2 linked regions of the Caenorhabditis elegans genome follow. The protein of the gene in region 1 purifies or fractionates together with the protein of each later gene. This does not show direct contact. Each region holds a gene or a part of one and is shown in the gene's direction. Other genes may lie near its edges. The genes, in order: toca-2 and wve-1.

The links.
Region 2: the proteins of toca-2 (region 1) and wve-1 purify together in Caenorhabditis elegans (affinity purification with western blotting, with the first as the bait; one study listed by BioGRID). This does not show direct contact.

Annotation. Positions count from the first base shown.
Region 1 is NC_003281.10:13,752,476-13,761,460, forward strand, and holds toca-2 (Transducer of Cdc42-dependent actin assembly protein 2 homolog), read left to right. Parts: upstream 1-3,468; 5' UTR 3,469-3,523; coding exon 3,524-3,556; intron 3,557-3,598; coding exon 3,599-3,714; intron 3,715-3,763; coding exon 3,764-3,887; intron 3,888-3,935; coding exon 3,936-4,096; intron 4,097-4,143; coding exon 4,144-4,249; intron 4,250-4,296; coding exon 4,297-4,501; intron 4,502-4,546; coding exon 4,547-4,628; intron 4,629-4,674; coding exon 4,675-4,751; intron 4,752-4,897; coding exon 4,898-5,147; intron 5,148-5,442; coding exon 5,443-5,594; intron 5,595-5,728; coding exon 5,729-5,835; intron 5,836-5,883; coding exon 5,884-5,934; intron 5,935-6,378; coding exon 6,379-6,508; intron 6,509-6,591; coding exon 6,592-6,766; intron 6,767-6,809; coding exon 6,810-6,873; 3' UTR 6,874-6,964; downstream 6,965-8,985. Other genes in the region: mlc-7 (EF-hand domain-containing protein), read left to right, coding at 47-133, 2,838-3,005, 3,052-3,258; dbn-1 (DreBriN 1/DreBriN-like (where Drebrin is from Developmentally REgulated BRaIN protein) family homolog), read right to left, coding at 7,146-7,714, 7,762-8,360, 8,406-8,615, 8,675-8,976. UniProt on the Caenorhabditis elegans protein: Plays a role in protein trafficking, actin organization and embryonic morphogenesis. Potentially acts as a cdc-42 effector. May play a role in egg laying.
Region 2 is NC_003279.8:11,922,773-11,933,369, reverse strand, and holds wve-1 (Wiskott-Aldrich syndrome protein family member), read left to right. Parts: upstream 1-3,853; 5' UTR 3,854-3,862; coding exon 3,863-3,999; intron 4,000-4,048; coding exon 4,049-4,652; intron 4,653-5,922; coding exon 5,923-6,249; intron 6,250-7,586; coding exon 7,587-7,664; intron 7,665-7,834; coding exon 7,835-8,095; 3' UTR 8,096-8,829; downstream 8,830-10,597. Other genes in the region: R06C1.4 (RRM domain-containing protein), read right to left, coding at 1,735-1,882, 1,958-2,036, 2,536-2,563; fdps-1 (Farnesyl pyrophosphate synthase), read left to right, coding at 9,462-9,590, 10,100-10,240.

The DNA of each region.
Region 1 (8,985 bases):
GGAACGTTTCTGTTTATTGAATTTTTCGTCATTTTTCTTTTTCCAAATGTCTCAACAACGGCTTATGGATGAGGTTCATGACGTTTTTCACTTTCACGACACCCTTGGCGATGGAAAAATTGATTCCAAGCAGGTGAGACTTTTAAAACAGAAAAATAGAACTGCTAAGATATTACGGGAACATAAAATTCTGAGAATGCGTATTGCACAACATATTTGACGCCCAAAATATTTCGAAGAGAAAACAACAGTAACTCTTTAAAGGACTACTGTAGAATTTGTGTCGATTTACCGGCTTGATTTTTGAAATCAATTTCTTTAAACTTTCATTCGTTTTTTCGAATAATTTTCTCATGTTTTACTAAATTTTAATATTCAATCATTTACTATATATAAAGCGCGTGTCCTTCCGTCCGTTTGTAGTTTGTAGTTTGATCTTTGATCTTTGGTCTTTGAACTCTGTAGTTTGTAGTCTCAATCACCTAAGAGGGGTCCTATAGGCCCCGCCCCTTTTGTGACGTCATCACAAATTGGCGGGAAATTCAAATTTTCTGAGAAATCATTTTGGCGGGAATTCAAATTTTAATTTTTTTAAAATATTTTGGCGGGAATTTAAAATTTTAATTTTTTGAAAATATTTTGGCGGGAATTCAAATTTTAATTTTTTAAAAATATTTTGGCGGGAATTTAAAATTTTAATTTTTTGAAAATATTTTGGCGGGAATTTAAAATTTTAATTTTCTGAAAATATTTTGGCGGGAATTCAAATTTTAATTTTTTGAAAATATTTTGGCGGGAATTTAAAATTTTAATTTTTTGAAAATATTTTGCCGGGAATTCAAATTTTAATTTTTTGAAAATATTTTGGCGGGAATTTAAAATTTTAATTTTTTGAAAATATTTTGGCGGGAATTCAAATTTTAATTTTTTGAAAATATTTTAACGGGAATTTAAAATTTTAATTTTTTGAAAATATTTTGGCGGGAATTCAAATTTTAATTTTTTGAAAATATTTTGGCGGGAATTCAAATTTTAATTTTTTGAAAATATTTTGGCGGGAATTCAAATTTTAATTTTTTGAAAATATTTTGGCGGGGAATTCAAATTTTAATTTTTTGAAAATATTTTGGCGGGAATTTAAAATTTTAATTTTTTGAAAATATTTTGGTGGGAATTTAAAATTTTAATTTTTTGAAAATATTTTGGCGGGAATTCAAATTTTAATTTTTTGAAAATATTTTGGCTGGAATTTAAAATTTCTGAGAAAAAGAACCTTCGTGTCGAGACCCATCGTGGTGAGACCCTTCGTGGTGAGACCCATCGTGGTGAGACCCATCGTGGTGAGACCCTTCGTGGTGAGACCCATCGTGGTGAGACCCATCGTGGTGAGACTCATCGTGGTGAGACCCTTCGTGGTGAGACCTTTCGTGGTGAGACCCATCGTGGTGAGACCTTTCGTGGTGAGACCCATCGTGGTGAGACCTTTCGTGGTGAGACCCATCGTGGTGAGACCTTTCGTGGTGAGAACTTTCGTGGTGAGACCCATCGTGGTGAGACCTTTCGTGGTGAGACCCATCGTGGTGAGACCTTTCGTGGTGAGACCTTTCGTGGTGAGACCTTTCGTGGTGAGACCCATCGTGGTGAGACCCTTCGTGGTGAGACCCATCGTGGTGAGACCCATCGTGGTGAGACTCATCGTGGTGAGACCCTTCGTGGTGAGACCCATCGTGGTGAGACCTTTCGTGGTGAGACCCATCGTGGTGAGACCTTTCGTGGTGAGACCCATCGTGGTGAGACCTTTCGTGGTGAGACCCATCGTGGTGAGACCTTTCGTGGTGAGACCTTTCGTGGTGAGACCTTTCGTGGTGAGACCCATCGTGGTGAGACCCTTCGTGGTGAGACCCATCGTGGTGAGACCCTTCGTGGTGAGACCCATCGTGGTGAGACCCATCGTGGTGAGACTCATCGTGGTGAGACCCTTCGTGGTTAGACCCATCGTGGTTAGACCCATCGTGGTGAGATCTTTCGTGGTGAGACCCATCGTGGTGAGACCCATCGTGGTTAGACCCATCGTGGTGAGATCTTTCGTGGTGAGCCCCATCGTGGTGAGACCCATCGTGGTGAGACTTTTCGTGGTGAGACCCATCGTGGTGAGACTTTTCGTGGTGAGACCCATCGTGGTGAGACCTTTCGTGGTGAGACCCTTCGTGGAGAGACTCTTCGTGTTTGATATTATATTGGCGGGAGCTAAGGAGTTGGTGTGGGATAATGTCAAGGTACTCTAGGGGTATTGTGGATTTGCTGTAGGGTTACTGTAGTTCAGAAAAAATTGACTTTGTGCTTTTGAAGAGGTATTGGCTCGAGAGTTAGAGAGGCGGAAGCTTCTGTGATATTTTTTACATTCCAGAATGTTTGAAAAAGTAAAAGTTTCCACCTGTTTTCATGTGACATTGTTAAAAGATTATATAGTGTTTTATGTGTCGAACAATTTAAATTTCGCCAGTCGTTGGCCGCGCCGTAGGCGCGGTCAGCGGCTGGTAGATAAATAAATGATTTTAATTCATTTCGAAAGTCGAGTGCGTAAATCGACACACACAAGAGCTACAGTAGTCATTTAAAGGATTACTGTAGATATCGCTACGAGATATTTTACGCGTCAAATATGTTGCGCAAAACGCGTTCCTAGAATTTTATGTTTCCGTAATGAACTCTTTTACAACGTGCAGTATTTTAACTATGTCTACTAGATTGTCGACCGCGGTTGCATCGAGGTCCACCACTAATTTCATAGCATCGAAATTGACCTAGAAACTTTAAACCAAATTTTTAAAATTCAGCTTCCCACAGCTCTCCGTGCCATGATGCTCAACCCTACCGAGGCTCTTCTAGCCGAAGTGAGCAAGGCAAGAACTTCCGGAGCACGCATCACAGTTGAAGAGTTTATTCCTATCTACAAAAAGGTTGAAGCTGCCTGCGGGCGAAGCACTACACTCAAGGAGTTTCAGGTTCGATTTCTTGAAGGTTTTTTAGACAACATTTCCGAATTTTCAGACGCTTCTATCGCACTTCGACCGCGAGGGAAACGGACAAATAATGCTCATGGAGCTTAAGAGCATGCTCCAAAACGGCGGGGAGAAGATGACGAATCAGGAGGTGGACAATTTGCTGTTCGGCGTGGAAGTCGTCGACGGACGAATCAATATCAACAACTTCCTCAACAGGCATCTTCAGATGGGGCTTGAGGAGTCTGAGAAATGATTTTTTGCTGATGATGTGATGTAATGCGGCCTTTCCAAAATTATCGTGCTAAAACTATAATATTGCCTGTCCTTGTGAATAGTAAAACACAATCTGAAATGTGATTTGAATAAAAAGTTAAACTACTGTGTTTTTCAAGGCGCGCGCATTGAAACCTGCGACAGGTCTCGACACGATCTACAGAAATTTGAATTTCAATCACAAATTTACACTCGATCACTCCGCAATTGGTTTTCTGCGAACAAATCAATTTTTCGATGTTCAAATGATTCCCGTTTCTAGATTTTTCACGGTTCAGGTAAAATTCCTATTGATTTCCACTCTAAAACCAAAATTTAAGGACCCATCAAACGCGCTCCTCTCGTACACACAAAAGGGAATAGATTTTTTCGAAAAATTAGGTCAATTCTCGAAGGAAAAAGCTGCGATTGAGGAGGAATATTCTACGAAATTGAGGTTTCAGTTTAAACAAACGGAATTTGAAGTTTTTCATAACTTTCTGTAGGAGTCTCGCAAAGAAATATGCGAAAAAATCGGAAGAAGATGATGAAATTCTAAAAAGTGTAAGCTACACCAGCTCATTCAACTCATTTCTTCAACAACTTGATCAGATTGCCACTCGACATCAAGTATAAGAATTCTGTCAGATTTTAGTTGAAAAAAACATCGAATTTCAGACGTCGGCGGAGCACATCCGGGGAGGTGTGGTTTCCTACGTGGCTTCGAAGACGTGTCAGATGAGAAGTTCCCGGAAAAATGCGATTAATGACTTGAAAACTATCAATGACAAGCTGGAAGATCAGATCAACGAGATGTGCAAGTCTGGGAAGTGTTACCTGTAGGAAAAAATCTGAAAAAAGTCGATTTGAATCGTTAATATTGCAGAAAATCGTTCAAAGACGCGGAAAACTCGTATCAAAAGTTTTACAAAGCTGATAAAAATCTGGAAATTTCGCGGCTTGAGTTAGAAAAAGCCAGGGCTCTTGCGAATGTAATAGGCTCAAAAAATCGCAAAACGCTTTTATTTATTTATTTCAGGCTCGAAATGAAGCATGTGAACTTGCTAAACAGGACTACTCAGCGCTGGTTCGCAAAACCAACGCCGAGCAAAAAAGATACCACGTGGAACTGCTCCCAGTGATTTTCGCGCGGCTCAAGGCGGTCGACAAGGAGTGTATCGCCGATATGCGACAAGTTTTGCAGAAAATTGTCTCCTTCGATGACTCGCTAGCTGATTCAACCGGTTATTATCGCGTTTAGAAGAAAAAATCGACGATGTTTTTTGCAGAAGAATGCCGAAAAATCATGCAAAGGGAAGTTGGGAAAATCGACGCGGAAGGTGATGCTCAGCTGGTTTTGAAATCCGTTGAGTCAGTATTTTTCGACTGAAAATCCGTAAAAATAGATAATTTCCAGAGCAACCATCGAGCAGCCGGCTCCGTTTGAAATCGAGGATCTGGGGGATCCCAAAAATTGTGACAGCCGGACAAATGGTGAATAGAAATCTGTAAAAGTCGGAACTTTGCAGTTTTTGACTCGAAATTTCCTTTTTCTAGAATTTATCTTCTGAATTTATTTAATTTTAAAATACTAAATACATATTTTCAAACCTTTTCCAAATAAAAATACACATTTCCAGATTCTGCCGACGGAAGTGGAGGAAAATTGCTGAAAAGCAGCCCTAGCAAGAATCGAATAATTCGCAATTTTCTGGGCATTCTCAAGGAAAAGGAGGCGGATGAGAAGCCCGAGGCTTCCAACAACGATCAATTGATGTATACCGACAAGAGCAAGCCTGCGCACGTGCGGCTTTCGTGTCTTCGCTCCAAAATTCGAGATATGGAAAAACAGTTGGAACAAGCGATTCAGGGACGAGAAGGCATCACTAGGTACGAGTAGATGCACCGAGAGCACTGAAACTTTGAGAAAATTTCAACAAAAAAAAGACAAACAAATTCTAGTCCAATGAAAGTTTAAATTTACAGTAATCTTTAAGGGTACATACCGGTTTGTATTCAACACAAATTTGTCGTCTCGAAACTGATTACTGTATTTTTGGCACTTAATTTCGCATCTAAGTAATGGAAAAATGATTTTCTCTGAAGTTCTGCCAAAAGTGTAGAAAAGAAAAATAATATCTCTAAAATAGGCGGGCCCAAAACTTTACGTTTGCTGTAATTTCAGACTGCAACAAGCCTACTACACAAATCCGCAGCACGGGAATCCGTCGGCGTGCACGGAACCACTTATATCGTACGCTAAAAAGATAGAGAAGCTCAAAATGGATATACATAACCTCAAGGAGTTCTACGCGATGCTTGAAATGAGTGTGGAAGGTGCTGAAAATACAAAGAATGGATGAAAATGAAACGTTTTTCGTCAAATTTTCGAAAATTCTAGTTAAAATACCTCTTTTCAAAAAATGAATGTCTTCTTTTAAAAATAATCCCTTTAAACACAAATTTTCCAGAAGGCCAGGAGCGCTCTTTTGGCGGCCGTGATACCCCTGACACAACGAGAAGCATGTCAGGCAGTTCGACAAATCAATCATCATCCAAAACTATCGAAGACGTGCTGGTATCACTAAACTGTTCGGTTTTTCCTGAAAATTATCGTATTTTGCAGTCTGGCGAAGCGGGAAATTCTTCATCAGCAGATGACTCGTCGAAGAATATCGTAAGCAGCCAAAAGTTGTTTTTCAGGAAAAAAAACAAATTACTGAAGTCTTACTCAATTTTAAAACTTCCTTATACTTAAAAATATAAGAATTACCGTTAAAGCAAACTTCTAACATGTTGTTGCAACACCGCTATGTGTCGATTTACGCATCTCGTGTACTCTCCGAGAAGAACGGTGCATTTATTTTTCCCAATTTATTTTTTGGTTTTTTGTCTGAAACACTTTAAATTAAAAAATAATTTGGCTATTTCAGCGTTGAATACCAAAAAAAATTAGAGGACATAGTCAAAAACCGATAATACGAGAATTTGAAATTACAGTATTCTTCAATACGTACACCTTTTCGCGTTTAGTACAAATTTGTCGTGTCGAAATACCGTACTTTTGGCGCAATAAAAAATAATTGATTGTTCGTTTAGAGACCCACTGTGCGTTTTTCAGCTCCGCCAACTGTTTACAACTCCGAAACGGCTTATCTCCTCGCCAAAAACCTCGAAGTCTTCAACTCCGACGCCACTACGACGAAGAGCCGAAATCTCATCACCAAAGATTCTCAGATCCTCATTTTCAGGTTAAATTAAAAATCCATTTTTTTCCTTTTAAAAGCTTTTATAAAAGAAAAAATAGTTAAATATAAGTATAAATTTTTTGCAGGTGCCATTCGCAAATCTTTATCGACTCCCGATTCAGTTAAAGTCGAGACAGCGGTTACGGTAACCGCACTGTTCGAATTTGCCAAATCCTCCGCGGAGACCATGTCCATCGAGCAGGGCGAAATTCTTCTCGTACTCGAACACGATCACGGAGATGGATGGACTCGAACCAAAAAGTAATACAAGTAACAAAGAATTACCAAGTAAATAAAATGAAAGTTGCAGGAAACACAACGAAGAGTCAGGATTCGTGCCAACTTCGTATTTGCAATTCCCCCAGTGATTTCATAAATTAAATAGCATTATCATCATCAATATTGTACTCGAGACTGCGCTTATTATCGTCCTGTGAATGAAATAATTGATTATAAAAACAGATTCTTCGATTTTCGATTCATATTGCCATTTACGGAGAAAATGCACATAAAAAGTAATGGTATAATAAATTACAGGAAGTGGGAGAATGGGAGGCACCGCGGATTGTTGAGTTTAAAATGGGAAAAAAACATTGCACAATAAATTAGTAAAAAAGAACGGTTAGGCTATCTAGACAAATTAAATCAGCTTCACATAATTAGCGGGAAAAAGGCCTACGCGGCCGCTGGGCGCACGTCCTTTCCACCATCCGCTATCGACTTGATCGATATCTGTGATAATGTCATCAGGATCAAATGAGATCTCCGTGTCATCTGCAGCCTGGTAGTCCCAGAGAGCCATCGCGTTCTGCTCGGCGACCGCCGGCGGGAAATCGTACTGATCAATTGGTGGAGCAGCGACTTTTATTGGCGAGGATTTCGGTGCAAACACGGGCTCCTCTGGCATCACTGGAGGCATGTCATACTGTGAGGCGATGTGAGCTGGCAGTTGAGAGCTCGATGAGTGAGAGTCGATCGGCTCCGGCGGAGCATCATACTGAGACGCATAGTGGGAAGGAGCTGAAACTGGAGGTACAGCTGGTTCGAAAGACTCGTGAACCGGTGGAGCATCGTACTGGGAGGCGTAATGCGATGGAGCTGGAGTTGGCTCAGGTGGAGGTGGAGCAATGACCGGGGTTGGAGCAAGGAATGTAGGTGGAGCTGGCTCTGCTGGTGGCTCTTCGTATGCATCGTAAGAGACGGCAGGTTCTGAAAATATTCAAATTAGGACTAATAAACTTTATACGAAAACTGACTCATAGCCTCGGGCTTGTAAACCATTGGCTCTGGCTCATAAGCTATTGGCTTTGGCGTATACGTCGAAGGCTCATCTGGCTCAGTGAGTCGGTTAACGGGTTCACGGGGCGGAGAGGTCGTGCCAACTGGCGGCCACTTCTTAGGCGATCCATTCACTTGAGGCTTCGGAAGCACTGGACCGGAAGGTTTTGAGCTGAATAATTCTTTTCTGCTTCCAACGAGACCTGCGCTCGGAGTGGGGGCGGGAGCTGGAGCTGGATTCACCGAAGATGGCACGGGCTTATCACTAATTTGAGCCTTCCCGTGAAGATCATCCGCAATCCGTTTTCGATCCGTCTCGAATTCCTTCTGCTTCTGGGCCTGTGCCTCTTTTTCCTCCGCTTGCCGCCGCTGCTCCTCCTCGTTCATCTTGCTCCAGAACTCTTCGCGAGCTGATGAACTGATCTCCACGTGCGGTTTTGTTGGCTTGTACACCGATGTGACCTTATCCGGTTGATAGTTTTCTGTTTTGGAGTGAATTTCCGAGGCCATTCGCTGTCGATCCGCTTCGAACTGCTTGTGTGCTTGTTCACGAGCGGTTTTTTCTTCTTCTTGACGCCTAAAATTGCGAATTCTATTTCAATAAATTACTCAAAACACCCACAGCTTCTCCTCCTCGTTCATCTTGCTCCAAAACTCCTCCCGTTTGACCGTCTTCAGCTCAACGTGGGGCTTCGTCGGCTTGTACACCGAGTTAACCTTCTCCGGCTGGAAATCTTCGGCTTTTGTGTGAATTGCCGCGGCCGTGCGATCACGGTCAGCTTCATACTGCTTTTGCTGTTTCGCATGAGCCACTTTCTCGTCGGCTTGTCGTCTGAAACTTCTTAGAGGTGATTACTTGATTTTCAGGACACGATTTCATGTAGACAGTACCTCTTCTCCTCTTGATTTGTTGTGCTCCAGAAGTTCTCGCGAGCCTCCGAGCTGAGCTCCGAGTGTGCATTCGTCGGCTGGTACACCGAATTCACCTTCTCCGGCATGCTGTACGTGGATTCGACGATGGCGTTGGCGTTCGCCGCCGGGAGCTTTCGCACCTCTTTTCGAATCGCGTCCGGCTCGATGTCGATTTCCGATCTGGCATGGAGCACAATGTGAACTGTTTTCAAGAATCTACGGAACTCTTCAGCGTGCGGTGTCGTTGAGGCCAAACGCAGTGTGGGGACTCCTTCGCCTTGCTGCAATAT
Region 2 (10,597 bases), on another chromosome or scaffold:
GCCTAACAAGCCTAAGCCGACTCCTGCCAAGCCCTTGATTCAAGATCCCGTTATAATATTTCTCAAATTTTCAACCTTTCAGTACTAACAATTCATCCCATTCACGGCACAACATACATTGGCCGTCTTCTCAATTATTTCCCTAATCAACCTAATTATCAATTCAATATTCAATACCCTGGTTTTCCAAAAACTTTTGTTCTTGATAGTGCATTTATTTATCGAACAGCTAGGTTTTATCACAATGAGTTGTATATTTATTCAACTATTCTTTTTGATTTTCAAATTCAAAACGTTATGTTTAAGTAAAAGCCAAATAGTTTTTGCGTTGATAGTAGGGCTTTTGGTTTTGAAAATTGGATTTTCGTTGTACATCTCAAAGGTTAAAATCAACTCAACTCATACTTTTGATATAGAAACATTCGATGTTCTACATAACCTTGTCAATATTGCCATGCTTATAATCCTACTGATAAAATGGACGATCAAACCAAATATCCATATAGAATCCGTGTCAATTGCTATCTATTCCTCGATAATTATTGGATTCTCCATAATTTTCCAGCTTGGTGCAATGGTTTTATCGATAGCTCATGAGCAAAGCCAAATCGTTTTCAAAATCTATCAAAACGTGATGTTTGTGTATTACATTCCGTATATCTGGATATGGACACTTTATATCAGCTACTCGGATTTTGTGATAAGTCGTGTTCCTCTTGTAGGTGCGGATATCCATGCTTCAGAGAATTGTGAAATACCCCTGGAAGCTCCTGAGCCAATTCGAAGAGAAACAGTTTCATATCTTTCGTTTTCAGAGTTGAGTGTTGTGTAATCAAATTTTAAAACGTTGCTTAAAAATGTTAGCAGGTCGTTTATGTTAATTTTTTAATTTTTTCTTTAAATAAATGTTTTATCTGAAACTATTCAAATTTCAAGCTCATCAAGTCGTAATGAACCAGAAAAATGCAAATTTCCAGACTGGAAAACTATAATACCTATCGTATTTCTAGTCTAAATCCTTCTCGGAGTCTGCCGCAAGTGTCGACAAACACCTCAAGTCAGAGCACGGATAAGCCTATGGTCTCTCTCGTAAAGTAGTGGAGTACTCCCGCGGATCCCGAGATGTAATCAGAAAAGTACGAACGAAATCTCTGTGTATGCACGTAGGCTCGTAGGCAAGCACAATCAAGGAAATATTTATCTGAAAAGCTTGAAAAGGCTCTCAAAGTGATGCAAAGCCAGAACAGAGTAAAAGTATGCATCATTATTTAAATTCATGAGTTTTCAGATGGGATCTGTGGAGTCAGGCTGTCTCATTGCGGTTTGATCTACAAAAAATGCGGGAATTTTCTCCCCAGGAAAGTGTGACGTCAGTTGAAAAGTCTGCGTCTCTTTTCCCTCATTTTTCGAAGATCAAACCAAAATGGGACACTTTGACACCACGTGTCAGTTTCTTTGAAGTCAATTTTCTTTATAATACTTTGCTCATGGTGCAACGATCTTTTTTTAGGTCTAAAAGCCGAAGCCTGAGCCCCAGCCTATGCTTAAGCCTAAGCCTAAGCCTAAGACTGAGCCGTAAACCTGCACTCTGTGAAAAAATGCTCGAAGTTTTCAGTTTTCAAAAAGATTTATTATTTAAGTGTAGATGGTGAAAAACATGCACGAAGATAGAATTTTTGGTGGAATGTATATCACAAGTGCAATCTCTTTGAGTCACTCGGCGGCGTTGTCAGTTTACTTGTTGGCGTAGTTGACACGAAGGTTGCGTCCATTGAAGGCAACTCCGTTAAGTTGTTCGACGGCTCTTTGAGCTCCGGCTTCCTCGGAGAACTCGACGAATGCGAAACCGCGTGGGCGTCCGGTTTCACGATCGTACACGATTCTGGAAGACATTGATTAGTTTTGACAAGGTTTTAATCGAAAGTTTCCGAGTTTCTGAGTTTCTGAGTTCTCTTACCTGACGTTGTTAACATGTCCGACGGCGGCGAAGTAGTTTCCGATCTCCTCCTCAGTTCCTTGGTATGGAACGTTTCCAACTAGAAAAAAATCGATTAGCAAAACGGGGGTAATAGTAGGTTTTGGCCTATATATAGAAAGTTACAAACTCTCACAATGCACTGTTACAGAGCAAATGCACCCTATCCTAGTCCTAGACTACGGAGACCATGACAGTGCGAAAAGTCTCTTCACCCATACTTTTTGTGGTCGAACGGCGTCTCCATTTCCAGAATTGTGTGGCGATCCGTGTGGGGTCCCGGGTACTCAGTTAGTAGACTCAGTTATACTTATACACGTGGAAGGGGACTACCTGAAATATCGGGATTTGTTGTCAAGGAACACGAATGAACCATAGAGAACGAAGGCCGATCGGAAAACGCTAACAATTATCAGAAATCGATACTTTCTGCAAGTCGAAGAAAAGTTCATCGAAGAAAAGTGTGAGAAAGTTTCAGAAGTTTTGAGAATTTTGTATCATATTCAAAATTTGTACAAATTTAAATTTAATTTTCACCACCGATTTATTACTATACTTACCGTAGACGGAGAATCCTTGGGAAGCCATGATAGATTTTTTTTTGAAGAAAAACGAGTGTGTTTCCGCGTGGAAGACAGACTAAAAATGTTCGATCGAATTTGGCAGTCCTAAAAAGATTGAGGCCAAACGCGCGGCGGGTCTCGCAGCGAACGTGCCGCACTACGGTCGATTTTGTGTAGGTTTACGGGAGGGATATTTTGGAGAAGAAATCGGCAATTGTTGGGAAAGTGAAATGCTTATTACGTAACAAATTTGACGCGAAATATACCTCGTAGCGAAAACTACAGTAATTCTTTAAATGACTACTGTACGGGCTCGGTATTCGAAATGAATTTTAGCTTCTGTGACACAACCAAGTTGGCGAAAATTGAGAATTTAGCTATATTTTGTTATTTTTCTCAGAATTAGAACAATTTCATTGATAAATAAAAAGGACCATCTCTCCGAAACCTCGCCATTTCACGATATTTTGAATATTTTGAACAGTAAATATTGAAATTTCAATCTCATTCTATTTTCGCATTTTCCTGTATCGATTTTTTGTTTTGTATATCATTTTTTAGACCGAAAAAAATTAATATTTAAATAAATATAAAACATTTCCGGAAATGAAAATATTTCCGATGAATCACAGCGAGACACTGTATGTATTCGAGAGAGTGCAGACGCTCGCTTGCGCACTTCTCGTGAGTGTTTGCTGACGCATCCCGGGTGCACCTTGGCGCATTTCTGGATTAATGATATTTTAATTGAAAAACATGAGATTTTATTGGTTTTTCCTCGTTTTTTGCAGTTTTTCCGATGAAAAAAAACATTTTCTGACAGAAATAATAATTTTGAAGCTGAAAAACTATGTATTTTATGATATTTCGTTGGAAAATTAGGTTTTATAAGTTTTTCAGTGAATTTGTGGGTTTAGCATGTAAATGAAGCAATTTTATATGTTTTCTAGCGATTTTTCCCGGTAAAGTTACCAATTTCAGCATAATTTTATTAAAAAAGTGGCTTTTCTGTTTAAAAAACTCAATTTTATAATTTTTCCAGTGCATTTTCGTGTTTACCATTAACATTAGAGTTTTTCGTGGAATTTTCCAACTAATTTCATTGATTTTGGCTGCTCGCTTTTATGAAGTTTCCAGTGAATTTTTATGTTTAACTAATTTTTTTCACGATTTTCGTGCCAATTTCCATTAAATCCATGGATTTTTACATATTATTCAGGGAAGAAAGTGATTTTTTTTCGATTTCAAGTCATCTTCTGTGAATTCTAACGCTTTCTCGCAATTTCCACCCACATAATCCCGCAATTTCTGCACATTTTCAGCAATGCCTCTAACAAAACGGGCGGTATCACCGGTAAACCTCAGCAGAGGCACAATTCCATCAACAATCCATCGTGATGAGCTTCAATGTACTGCTAATGGGACAATCGCCAATTTAGTACGACAATTGAGCTCGTTGAGGTGGGAAATTAGGTCGGAAAACTGGAATTTTATCGATTTTTTTTTGCAGTAAGCACGCTGAGAACATCTTCGGAGAGATTTATCACGACGCAATGATAATAAATCACAAATCGAACACTCTTCAACAGAGAATTGATAGATTGCACAAGAAAGTTGAAGATTTGGATTCAAATTCCGATCAAGCAACGTTGAATGAAGCGAATATGCGAAAAGCATTCAAAAGTTCAATGCTTGTAGATCAACATATTCTGGATAGAAGCACTTTACCTACAGCATTGACTGAAATATATGCAAAATGTGATCCACCGCCGGATCTTGATGCTCTAAATCCGTATAGAGACTCTGAAATCCCTGCGCTCTCTCTCTACACAAATCCCTCGTTTTTCTTCGATTTATGGAAAAAGGAGACACTAAAAGAGGTTGCCGAACGGCCCAGACGGGTAAAAAGCCCGAACGACGGGAGTAAAAGCCCGAAAAAGCGGCGGAAGCAGCCTGGACAAGGCCCTCTCGGCACGACGGCCTATAATGATATGCAGCATAGGAATCGACAGATTAGTGGATCACGGATTAATCAGCAGAATGAAGTTTTCTCGTTCCCGGAGGAATATCAGGCTCCGCAGGCTCTCGGGCTTCAGCTTAACTTTAAAAATCAGGTAGATTTTCGCGAGATTTTTCGATTTTTTGAAGAGAAAATCTCCAAACCGTTGAAAATCGGAAAAAATCGATAATTGAGCCCAAAAATTTGAAAAAAATCGAGTTTTTTGCTGAAAAAGTGAATTTTCTATTGTTTAAAAAGAAAATCAACTTTTCAACGAGATTTCAGCGCTTACACAGCTCTTGTGCTCCCCGAGCAGGCCAAAATGTTCTATTTTGGGGCAAAATTATGGGTTTCCAGTAATTTGGAGCATGAAATTTCCTAAAAATGCACTTTTTCGCCAAAAAACAAGCCAAAATCAATGAGAAAAAGTCACTTTTTCATTAAAATCTGCGAAGATTGATAAGTTTTTGGAAAAATCGCTAGAAACCCTACAAATTAACTTCAAAAAAACTATGAAATCGAATTTTTCAACGAAGTCCCAGCTTTTCCGCTTCAAATGATTTTTTACCGTTGAAAATCGGAAAAAATCGATAATTGAGCCCAAAAATTTGAAAAAAAATCGAGTTTTTTGCTGAAAAAGTGAATTTTCTATTGTTTAAAAAGAAAATCAACTTTTCAACGAGATTTCAGCGCTTACACAGCTCTTGTGCTCCCCGAGAAGGCAAAAATTCTCTATTTTGGGCCAATATTTGGGTTTTTTAGCCATTTGGGGCTTGAAATTTCATAAAAATTCACTAGAAACTTCCAAAAAGCCGAGTTTTCACCGAAAAACAAGCGAAAATCAATGAAATTAGTGGGAAATTCCTTAGAAAAAATAATTTTTCAACAGAAAAGTGCCACTTTTTCATTAAAAATATGCGAAAATTGATAATTTTTTTTTTGGAAAAATCGCTAGAAACCCTACAAATTAACTATAAAAATCCTATAAAGTCGAAAGTTTCAATGGGAACAAATAATTTTGAAGCTGAAAAGTTATGGATTCTAGAGGATTTCGTTGAAAAATTCGATTTTATAGGGTTTTTATAATTAATTTGTACGGTTTCTAGGGATTTTTCCAAAAAAACTTATCAATTTCAGCATATTTTTAGTGAAAAAGTGAAACATTTCTGTTGAAAAACGTTTTTCATTGATTTTGGCTTGTCTTTGAGGCTGAAAACTCGAGTTTTTTGGAAGTTTTCAGTGAATTTTTAAGAAATTTCATGCTCCAAATGACAAAAAAACTCTGAAAAATCGATAATTAAGCCCAAATATCCTTCTCTGGGAGTAATTTTGAAGAAAAAAACGATTTTTTCCACTGAAAATCTCCCAATTTTTGATAAATTCAGCACCCCTCCAACATGGTTGCCCCAATCGGAATGACAATGCACCATCATCCTCAACAAAATGTGCATCCGAGCCAACAACGAGGTGGTGCTCCAGCAGCAGCTCGTGGATCTCCGAATGTTAAACGTCCGACTGAAGCTCCGCCGCCAGTGAATCTGGATCACCTCCCACCACCGGATATGTCAATTTTATCGATTGATGATGATGATGATGATCTTCCACCACCACCACCACCGCTTCTCATGAATACATCAATTGTACATCAGTTACCAGCAGAAGCTCCGTCGACGATACAGTTTGTCGAGCCGAGTGCTGCTCCGCCGACTAATGTACGTTTTGGAGCTCGAGAGAATTTGGAGATTTTGGAGTAAAATCTTGGTTTTTGCGAGGAAAAAAGCTTGCGTTTTTGCTTTAAATTGTCCGTTTTCACGACGAAAAAGCTTGGAAAAGCTTGAAAAAACTAGAAAATGTGAAAAGTCTCTATTATTCTAAGTTATTATGAGCGTTTAGAAGCCTTAAGCCTTTTTCAGGCAAAATCTCGCTTTTTCGCTTTAATTTGTTCATTTGGGCCACGAAATCACGAAAAATTGGTTGAACTCTATTAGAAAGGCTTGAAACGGCTTGAAACCGTTTGGAAAAGCTTGGAAAAGCCTGACAGAGCTTGAACTAGCTTGGAAGAACTTGAAAGAGAACGATAAAGCTTGAACAAGTTTGGAAAGCCTGACAGAGCTTGAACTAGCTTGGAGAAGCTTAAAGAGCTTGAAAAAATAGTGAACAAGCTTGGAGAACCTTGAAATGGCTTGAAAACGTTTGGAAAACCCTGGAAAAGGCTTGAAAAGGCCTGCAAAAGACAGGAAAAGATTCCAAAACGCTTAAGAAAGCTTGAACAAGCTTGGAAAAGCTTGAAAGAGCAAGAAAAAGCCTGGAAAAGCTTGTAGAGCTTAAACGAACTTGTAATAGCTTGAAAAGGCTTGGAAAAGCCTGACAGAGCTTGAAATAGCTTGAATGAGCTTAACGAGCTTATAATAGTTTGAAAAAGCCTGGAAAAACCTGGAAAAGCTTGGAGGAGCTTGAACAAGCTTGACCAAGCTTGAGCAAGCCTGAAAGAGTTGGGAAAAGCCTGAAAAAGCTTGGAAACGCCTTGAAAAAGCTTGGAGGAGCTTGAACAAGCTTGACAAAGCTTGAAAAAGCCTGACTGAGCTTGAAATAGCTTCGATGAGCTTAAACAGCTTGAAACAGCTTGAAAGAGAACGATAGTGGCTTCGAAAAGCTTACAGAGCTTAAAAAAGCCTGGAAAAACTTCAAAATGCTCGTGCGAGCTTGAAACAGCTTGTAAAGCCTGAAAGAGCTTGGAAAAGGCGTCAAAAAGCTTAGACGAGCTCGAAAAAGCTTGCGAAAGCCTGGAAAAGCTAAAAAAGCCTGACTGAGCTTGAAATATCTTCGATGAGCTTAAAAAGCTTGAAACAGCTTGGAAAAGCTTGGAAATTTGTGAAAAGCTCCAAGATTTCTTGTAGTGCATAAAATTAATTTGAAGCTATATTTCTGCAATTTCCAAGCTTAAAACCCCGAATTTTTCAGTTAAAAATTTGCAATTTTTGTCCATTTTTGTGTTTCCCTCATTGTTGTCCACTTTCCGCTTCTTTCTTCAATTCTCGATCCCTTTCAGATCCCTCCACCACCTCCACCACCACCTCCAATGGTTATAAGCTCGGCTGCAGCGTCATTTGCAGCTCCGGCTCCAAAGGTAAAGGCGCTGGAACAGCAGGGCTCTATGTGTGTCTAACCCGCTGAAAATGTGTAGTTTTCCTGTGTTTTTTGGACTTTTTTGAAGCTTTTTTAGGGACAAATTTCAAGAGAAATAGCCGAATTTTCATCAAAAAATCGATTTTCTCCCACTAAAACTGAAATTTTCAGCCATCCGCGGACGGTGAAGCTGCTGGCACAAATTCCCCAGTTGCTCCAAAACAACCAGATGCTCGAAGTGATCTTTTGGCTCAAATTCAATCTGGAATAAAGCTGAAAAAAGTGCAAAGAGCCGAGGCAGAAGCCGCCGAGAATGCTGCTCTCGAGGCGAATAATGTTGCGGCGATATTGAAGAGACGAATGGATCAAGTTATGGGAAATGATGATTCAAGTAGTGAAGAAGGAGCTGATGATGATGAATGGGATGATTAATTGCTCTCTTTTGTGTCGATTTACGCAGATCTCGTGTACTCCTCGAGGAGAAGATTCTACAGATTTTGGCTAAAAATGCTTGATTTTCGCTATTTTTTCCTTGAAAATTAACATTCAAAGCGGTGATTTTTAAGCGAAAAACCCGTGAAAATAGCTCTAAATCAAGCATTATTACCCATTTTTGCATTTTTACTGATTTTTTCGGTGAAAAAAAAAACGATTTTTCGCTGAAATTCTTGATTTTCGCTATTTTTACTTGAAAATTAACATTCAAAGCGGTTATTTATGCACTTTTAAGTGAAATCTGAGTGTTTTTAAAGTTAAAAATAAAAATAATTCATTGATTTTTGCCAAAAAAAAAACCGTGAACATTGCGAAAATGGCTCAAAATCAAGTACTTTTTTTTGCTAAAATGGTTGATTTTGAGCCATTTTCGCTATTTTCACGGTTTTTTTTTGTCGGTGAAAACTTTAAAATCGCTCAAATTTCACTTAAAACGCTATAAATAACCGGTTTAAATGTTAATTTTGATAGAAAAATAGCGAAAATCAAGCATTTTTAAGCCAAAAAACTGTAAAATCTTCTCCTCGGGGACTACACGAGCTGCGTAAATCGACGCACACTTTTTCGAATTTTCTTGTGTAAATACTGCCTTGCTTTAATTTATTTATTCAAAAATTTTTAAAATTTTTTCCGCTTTCCTGTTTCAAATGAACTGATTTTTCTCATTTTTTGCCCCTCCAGAATTGTAAATTTAAATTTCCAAGTGGTCGCCTGCCCCCTCATTATTATTTCGCAATTTTATGATTCATCAGTTTTTCCAATTTTTATTCGATTTTTTTTCAATTTAAATCAATTTAAACCTTTGAAATGTAGGAAAACTTCAATTTTCGCTTAAAATTTTCAATTTTTGGTGAAAAATCGATTTTTCCGGAAAAAAAACGTGAAATTTCCAATTTGGAGCACATTTTTATGAAATTTGCATCATTTCTCTCGAATTTACGAAAATATTTAAATTTTCAGCGGAATTTGGACATATTTCCTGGAAAACTCTTGATTTTTCGCAGAAAATTGCAATTTTTCATGCAAAAATTTGTTTTCTACGCATCGGAGCTCCAAAATTCCCAAATTATTCGAAAATTCAATTTTTAGCTTTTTTTTTCTCGAAATTTCAATTGAAAATCGTGTTTTTTGGCTCATTTTAGCTCAGTTTTCAGCTGAAAAATTCGAAATTGGGCGAAAATTTGCTCAAAAACCGGTTTTTCAGCTTGAAATTTCATAATAATGATGCAACGGCTCTAAATTTTCATTTTCTCTAGTTTTTTTTGCCATTTTTCCCTCTAATTTTCTCGTATTTTCAGCAGCAATGTTCGCCAGTAGAAAGCTGGTAGAAACGGCGTTGGGCGAAGTTAAGAAGAAATTCGTACGGGTTGTGGCGGCAAAATTGCCTGCTGATGGAATGGAATACGATTTGGTTCAGTATAGATGTAGAAATGTACGGAAAAGACGATTTTCTCGGTTAAAATGCGTGGAAAAATGGCACTTTTCACACTAAAACTAGAAAAAAGTGGAGAAAAAGTCAAAAATTCACTCCAAATTTCGAATTTCCTGTTGAAAATTTCATATTTTTCGCCGCAGAAAATGCACTAAAACCAGCAGAAAAAGTTTTTGTTTGATTTTCTAACTAAAAATCCAGTTTTTTCCATCAAAAAATTCAAAATTTTCTGCTAAAAAACCAAAAAAGGAGAAAAAGTGGAGAAAAAGTCAAAACTTGACTCCAAATACCGAATTTCCTGCACATTTTTCCGTATTTTCTGCTGAAAATTCACTAAAATCAGCAAAAAATACGCCGAAAACCGGAGGAAAAAGCAGTTTTCCAGAGAAATTCTGTATTTTTTGCACTAAAAGCAGTAAATTTTCCAAAAAAAAGCCAATTTTTCACGATTTTGGTCAGTTTTTGGCGAAAAATCCAGTATTTTCCATCAAAAATTCCCAAATTTTCAGCTATTCGACAACACTGTAATCGGCGGAAAATACTCACGAGCATCCCTATGCGTTGACACAATACGGGCTTTACAGCCTCATTTAAGAGATGAAACTCAGGAGCTTCAAGCTGTGTGTGAAGCTGCTGCAACACTTGAAATTGTCAGTTTTTAGATGGAAAATCGGCGTTTTTTGAGAGAAAACCCGACTAAATTGAAGGAGAATGGGCTCAAATGAACGAATTTCGTAATGAAACTGCTCGAAAATGCAATTTTTCATTAAAAATCACCGAGAAAATCTTTTTTTTCCTAAAAATCCGAAAAATCAATAATTTTTTGCAGTTCCTGAAAATTAGAATAACCGAAAAATTGGAATTTTCTTATAAATTACCAGAAAATGGCTTTTTCCATTAAAAAAAGCATGTGAAAATCATATTTTTCAATAAAAAAAGCCAAAAAACCAAAAATTGGAGGTTTTTTTCCCGTACAAAAACCTAAAAATCTCGCTAAATCATCAAAA